Caenorhabditis elegans: one gene and its partner. The protein of the gene in region 1 purifies or fractionates together with the protein of each later gene. This does not show direct contact. Each region holds a gene or a part of one and is shown in the gene's direction. Other genes may lie near its edges. The genes, in order: nfu-1 and glrx-5.

The links.
Region 2: the proteins of nfu-1 (region 1) and glrx-5 fractionate together in Caenorhabditis elegans (co-fractionation; one large-scale study listed by BioGRID). This does not show direct contact.

Annotation. Positions count from the first base shown.
Region 1 is NC_003282.8:10,385,490-10,389,099, forward strand, and holds nfu-1 (NFU1 iron-sulfur cluster scaffold homolog, mitochondrial), read left to right. Parts: upstream 1-1,923; 5' UTR 1,924-1,927; coding exon 1,928-1,979; intron 1,980-2,022; coding exon 2,023-2,085; intron 2,086-2,131; coding exon 2,132-2,210; intron 2,211-2,274; coding exon 2,275-2,764; 3' UTR 2,765-2,862; downstream 2,863-3,610. Other genes in the region: Ankyrin repeat and KH domain-containing protein mask-1, read left to right, coding at 1-486, 538-714, 783-1,111, 1,157-1,253; R10H10.3 (CUB domain-containing protein), read left to right, coding at 3,031-3,108, 3,492-3,610.
Region 2 is NC_003281.10:12,371,876-12,375,629, reverse strand, and holds glrx-5 (Glutaredoxin-related protein 5, mitochondrial), read left to right. Parts: upstream 1-1,772; 5' UTR 1,773-1,788; coding exon 1,789-1,992; intron 1,993-2,768; coding exon 2,769-2,993; 3' UTR 2,994-3,048; downstream 3,049-3,754. Other genes in the region: pph-4.2 (Serine/threonine-protein phosphatase 4 catalytic subunit 2), read left to right, coding at 1-50, 1,006-1,144; rpt-6 (26S proteasome regulatory subunit 8), read right to left, coding at 3,173-3,523.

The DNA of each region.
Region 1 (3,610 bases):
CTTCTTATTAACTCATCACTTCCTAATGCTACTTCGAGTCCACAAGGTGCTTCAACCATATCATCAGCACCAGTGCAGCAGCCATCTACGTCTTCTGTTACTACTGGATTATCTTCTTTGGAACTGAAAGGTTGGATGCCAGCCTCATTTGCACCGTCTGCTCGTGATCCGAATAGATCTCAACCACCCCTGTTTGCAAGATCTCAATCGAATTCTGTTGCTAATAGCACTTCCACGAATATTCAACAGCAACAACAACAGCAAATTCAACACCTTCAACAGCAGCAAGCACTACAACAACAACAGCAAAGGATTCAGCAATTCCAGCAACAATACCAACAGCATCAGTCTCAAAGTTCTCAGCAACCAAGTGACTTGATGTCTTCAAAGTTTTCAATGCTACAATCACAACAACAGCAGCAGCAACTTTACAATCAGATGCAGTCGCTAGGTCAAGATGGACAGGGATCCAATCTGTATAACCATGTAGGGATCCGTGATTTATGTCTGAAAATACGTTATTTGATTTATTTGCAGCTTGCCGCCCAATTATTGACTCATCAAGAGAGTTCTACAGGAGCACCTGGTCCAACAAGTAGTCAACTTGCAAATAGCTACTATCCATCACCTTCGTATACGGATGCCAGTGTTTTAGGGCAAATTAGCATGCCGTCATTGTCACAGAGAGGAATAAAGCAATTTGATGGATTTAATGTAAGTTTAGGACAAATTTGATGTTAAGATAGCAGGATCAGTTTAAAAATTAATGAATGGAAATTTAGAATGACTCTGATGGCGTTATTGCTGCTATTCTCGAGCAACAACAACAACAGAAGAAACAAGGACTCGCACAACAATCGTTCATGCATAACTCTCAACAGCCACAGCCGTTCGGAGCTCCCAGCAACGCTTCTGCAAATCAATCGCGACTCGGAATGATCCAACCTCGGCCCCAACCGCCACCATTTGTTGCTCCACAAGCTCCACCTGGATTCTCTTCTCTTGGAAATGCATCTTCCACGACGAACCCATCTCGAACTTCTATGCAGCAAATGTATCAGCAATACGGACAGAGTTCACAGCAACAGCCTTACGGTCAGATGCCTCAAGCGTAAGTTCTACGATTTCTAATTAAATATTTGTTTATTTATTACAGAATGGATTGGAACCGACTTGGACAGCAACAGCAGTCTGCATCTGGCCAACAAAATCATCAGTCATCCTCGTCAAATAAATGGTCTTCCAACTGGTAGATATCGCTCACAAAATCGTCTTCTTGTCAATTAGTCCCCCCTCCCCTCATAATAATTCGGTGTTTACTTGTTTTTTATTCAACCGTGAAACAATATGTCTTCCCGGTTGAATTGCATCCATTTTTCTTTATTTCGTCTCCTCGTTCCGGGTTTTGTAACACTTTTTCTTCATTTTAAATCTAGCCTTTTTTGGTCCATTTTTTCTTTCAACTCTCAAATGTTCGATCTTTCCCATCCCTAGCAAGTGTTTTCTTGCGAGCTCAGCCTTGTGGAAATTGTACTCTTCTGTCCAAATTATTCCCGTTTACCCATTTTTTGTTCTTTTTATATCTCCCCCGACATACTACTTCTTTTTTTTCGGTTATTTTTCAAGTCTTCCAACACAACACATATGTATTTGAGACGGATGTCAAATGGTCCCAACTTTTTCTTCCCTTTATTGAAAAGTGTGTCTTATTTTTCACTTTTGATGTTTTACTCGTTGTTTCATATGAAACCTGGGCATTTATTTCATTGCTAATTAATTATGACTTTCTTCGCTTTATGTTGATCCATGAATCGTGATTCTTGAAAGTATACAGGTTAGGCTATTGAAATGTACAACTCGAGGTTTTGATTCCTATATCTTGAGAATTAAGTCGGTAGATGTTGAAAGAACAAAAATTTTCAGAAAAATGATTTCATCAAAAATGCTCACAAGACTGAACCGGAGCTTTGTACAAGCAGGTGATACTGGTTCCAGAAATTCTTTCATTTTTTAAAATTTCAGCTCGATCAATGTATATTCAAGTTCAGGAGACACCTAATCCACTTTCTTTAAAATTTTTACCTGGTTAGTGGAAACTTCACTGTTTAAAATCTGAAATGTAGTATTTCAGGTCAACAGCTTCTCCCAGACGCCTCGAAAACATACGATTTCAGCTCAGCGGCTACAGCAAAACAAAGTCCACTTGCTATGTAAGGAATATTCCAAATTTTAACTACCATTCAGATAAAATAGTATTTATTTGTAAATTTTCAGAAAACTTCTTCGAGTCGACGGAGTGAAGCGTGTGTTCTTCGGAGAAGATTTTGTAACTGTCACGAAATCAGATGAGACTGTTGACTGGGCTCTCCTCCGTCCGGAAATCTTCTCAACAATTGCTGATCACATTCAAACCGGAAAACCTGTCATAAATGAAGCTGCAACTGTTTCCGACCAAGTGGAAGAAGATGATGAAGTTGTAATGATGATCAAAGAAATTCTAGAGACACGTATCAGACCAATGGTACAAGAAGATGGTGGAGATATCACTTATGTTGGTTTTGACGATGGTGTTGTCAAATTGAAGATGCAAGGTTCATGCACAGGATGTCCAAGCTCTGGAGTCACTTTAAAAAATGGAATTGAGAATATGCTCACATTCTACGTGCCTGAAGTGAAGGAAGTTATCGAAGTTAAGGATGAATCCGATGATCTTGTGGAACAAGAGTTGAAGAAATTTGAGCAATCAAAAGGAATCAAAGACTAATTGATAATTGATTCGTGTATAACTAGATTTGTTTTTATTAGTGTTTGCTGCTAGAGATAAATGTTCAATGAATATTTATAAAAACTTTTTTATTACTTTGAAAGTCGTATTAGTAGAATTGGTTTATGACTCTGAAATCATCGAATCACGTCAAAGTTCAACGGCCCAGTCCAAATCAGTGATATCAGTTAAAAGACTTATCACCCGGAAAAGTGGAAAATTGTGCTTCGTAAATTGATAAGAAATCAGTCAGAGTGCTGCTCAAAATGTTGAAACAAATTCTTCTCGTCGCTATTATTTTAAATTTAGGAGTATCTGCGTATAAGAAGAAAAGCTTGATTCATGTTAGTTTTTTTTTCAAGTTTTTGAATTTTCAATGTTATCCAGACGCGGAATTTTGCTATTTTTGCGGCTGGTTCGGTTTCTGAACGACATCATTTTAATAAATGCGGAAGGTACGCGCCTTTAAAGTGAACTGTATATCCAAACTTTATTTGCTGCGGTCAATTCTTCATAGTTTTTCGAGAAAAATATGTTTTTTTATTTATTAAACAAACTACATTTTGAAATCAAAATACAAAAATCTTCAGAAAAACATGAGACAACAACTTTTGCATTTATCAAAATTTTATCGTGACGAGACCGGGTACTGTCGCTAAAGTTCGCGTCTGAGTAATTGTGTCTGTAAATTATAAATTTAGAATACTGTAGAATATAAATTTATCAGAATCATGACAAAGTGATCGTATCAAACGACGACTTTATTGGATGCCCAGTTAACAATGATTTCTATTACAATGGAACCATTAATTCACCATTGTATCCATACAATTATCCTCCAAATGA
Region 2 (3,754 bases), on another chromosome or scaffold:
TTTCGCAAGCGGGTCGTCACAGTTTGGTCGGCGCCCAATTACTGCTATCGGTAGAATTTTTGTGAATTTTTGCTCCAAAAAATGCATTAAAATTGAATTTTACTGTCGAAACAGATAGATAAGAGCCTGCAGATTTGTACTACACGTGGACAACTGAGAACCCGATTTTTTACTGTTTTTTGACTATTTTTGTGAAAAAAAAGCGTTCAGAATGGTCTGAATCCGACAAAAAAGGATTTTTTCGAAACCGAAAACGCAAAAAAAAATGTTTTTTATCAAAATTGTACTTTTGTCATGATTTCGAGTAAAATTTTAAGGAAAAAAAGTGAAACAGGTTAATTTTCTAACAAATTTTGTGTTTTCGGTTTTTCGATTTTACAGAAAAGCGGCAAAAAATGTTTTTTTTTCAAATTTTCGATTTTCCTTGAAAAACATCGAAAAATGACACCAAAAAAACGGTCAGAAAATTTTCTTTTTTTTTAAATTTTTTATTTTCTGACCGGTTTTTGGTGTCATTTTTCGATGTTTTTCAAGGAAATTCGAAAAATTGAAAAAAAAAGTTTTTTGCCGATTTTCTGTAAAATCGAAACACCGAAAACACAAAATTTGTTAGAAAATAACCATAAAATTCGTTTTTTTTTTAAATTCTAATTTTGTTCAAATTGATGAGAAAAAACAAAAAAAAAAGCCACCTAAAAAGAAGAAAAATTTTCAAAATTTAATCTAATTTTAGAAAAATCTTTTTAAAAAAAGTCGAAATATCGGAAAATTAAAAACCCAAAATTTTTAGAATTTCAGAAAAAAGCTCGTTTTTCGATTTTATTAGTCGGAATCAACCCTGATTAACCATTTTCAATGTTAAAGACGAAAATAATTCGCAAAAATAGACCAAAACTTGTCCACGTGTAGTACAAAATCCTCCGTAAATCGACACCGCGCCGCAGGCTTGCAAACCCGAAACTGCGCCTTCCTATTTACAATTTAGAATAAACATCGAATTTTCAGATGCGGAAACGTGGCGGCAATCATGGAGGTCACCGAGGAAAATATCGACAGCGACCCCGTTTTTGAAGTTTTCGAAGCGGCAACAGTGGAGAATCGAGGAGAGCCGAAAAAGCAACCGATTGCTCAATATTTTCTATGATTTTTTTTTTGCGAAAAACCCACCCCCAATTTTACCCTCATTCTAGCACTTTTACTCGAAAATCTTATTTTTCAATTTCTCAAAGAAAAAAAATCTCATTCATTCTTGTGAATATTTCAATTACTATCCATTTTATCTAGGAATTCATATTTAATTATTTGATTATTTTATCATCATTTTTTGTAAATTCTCACCTCCTCCGGGTTCAAAATATTTCGGTTATTGTTTTCCCGCTCAAGTTCTCACCTCAATTTCTGGTATTTATTATAACACACGAGTGCTCTCCTTTCGAAGAAAAAATTTCTAATTTTAATTTTTTATTATTATTCCGATTTGTAAGAGTTTAAAAACTAATGCTTATTTTGAAATTTTAAATATTATCAATTTCTATTTAAAAAAATTGAACAATTGATTGCGAAATAGTGCCCTATGACGCCCGAAAAAAAATCATGTGGCCGATTTTATTTCGGTTTTTACTGAAAATTTATAGATTTTTTAAAATTATTTTTCCAATTTTTCAACAAAAATAATCAATTTTTTAGCCAAAATTTGAAAATATCTTTCGCGATTTTTTGGTGGTTTTTTGTAATTGCTTTCCTAAATTTTCCTCTAAAACCCCGATTTTCAGCCAAAAAAAACCAGCCATGTTGCGCGTACTATCACGTCAAGCGTTCTCAATGGTTCGAGCAGCCAACTTCTCGGCTTCAGCTTCATCAGCCGGTGGTGGCGGACTTAGCGATGAAGTTCGCAAACGAATCGACGGAATCGTGAAAAAAGATGATGTTGTCGTTTTTATGAAGGGAACACAACAGGAGCCAGCGTGTGGATTCTCGAGAAATGTTAAATTGGTACGGGAAAATGGAGATTTTGTGGAAAAAAGTGGAAAATTCAACAAAAAAAAATTGCAAAATAGGCAATTTTTCAAATTTGACTACTCTCCGACCAATCAGCGTCTTCGCGCTCCGCCCATACCGTCTGATTGGTTCAAAAGTGGGCCGAGCGAATCGCTAATTGGTTAGCATTTTTAGTGTAATTCTTGGGCTTAAAATCGCCTCAAAAGAACGATTTTCTTCAAATTTTTTGAAAAAAATTGCAAAATTCAGAAAAAAAATCAAAATAAATTTTACCAGTTTTTCCGTATCACAACGGCCAGCATTTGATTTTTATTCGATTCTTTTGGTAAAATTGGTAAAATTCGAGCTTAAAAGGCCGCTGTTTTAAAATTTTTTGAAAAATCTCATTATTTCGAGCTTTCCTAGCTTGAAGTCGACAAAAATTCGATGATAAATATTACAAAACCACAAAATGCCGAGAATGCGTACTGTGCAACACATTTGACGCGCAAAATATGGAATATCTCGTAGCGAAAACTACACAGTAATCCTTTAAATAAGACTACTGTAGCACTTGTGTCGATTTACCAGCTTTGATAGAGCCCGTAAATCGACACAAGCGCTACAGTAGTCATTTAAAGGATTACTGTAGTTTTCGCTGCGAGATATTTCATATGTTGCGCGTCAAATGTGTTGTGCAATACGTATTCTCAGAATTTAGTGCTACCGTAATAGTTTCGCTTTAAAAAAAAAAAGAAAAAATCCCAAAAAATCACATTTTCCCATTTCAGGTTCTCGACTTCCACAATGTAAAATTCCAAGACTACAACGTTCTGACCGATCAGGAGCTAAGAGAAGGTGTCAAGATTTTCAGCGAATGGCCAACAATTCCACAAGTCTATGTGAAGGGAGAGTTCGTCGGCGGATGTGATATTCTCATTTCAATGCACAAAGACGGAGAGATTTCCGACTTTTTAGACGAAAAGGGAATCTCGAATAAATATGGGAAGCAATGAATAATCCTGTTAGAAATTTAGACGTTTTTTTTTCGAATAAAGATTGCATTATTCAGCAAAAGAAGGAGAGCACGGGAGGTCAAAGACAATAAATAAATAGGGTCCATTTTTTACAATAAAATCAGTGAAAGGGGGGGGGGGGTAATCGATAAAAAAAGTCGAAATTTGCATTTTTATTTTTACTTCCACAACTTCTTGATGGACATATTCTTCTCCGAATCCTTCTGCATAACCTTTCCAACAGCCATCTCGAAATCCTCCTGCGTCACATGAATACGTCGCTCACGGAGCGCGAACATGCCAGCCTCGGTACACACCGACTTGACTTCGGCTCCCGATGCTCCGGGAATTTGCTCGGCGATCTTGGCCATGTTGATACCTCGCATCAAGTTCATCTTGCGCGAGTGAATCTTGAGGATATCGGCACGAGCCTTCTCATCTGGAGCCGGGAACTCAATCTTACGATCGATACGGCCGGGACGGAGAAGTGCGGGGTCGAGAATGTCGATACGATTGGTTGCCATGATGACCTGAACATTTATATATAGAAGCTTGGAATATTTATAGGTGGACTACGCTAAGTGGGATGACCGAATATTATGATTTAAAAAATTCAAAAAAATTTTCTAGATTTTATATGCTTTTTTGTTTTGAAAATTGAAAAAATCTCAGTTTTCCCCTAATTCCTATTTAAATTACTGCCAATTTAACTCGTTCGTTGGGGCGCGCTTGTAGTATTTTCATTAATTTTTTAAAATTTA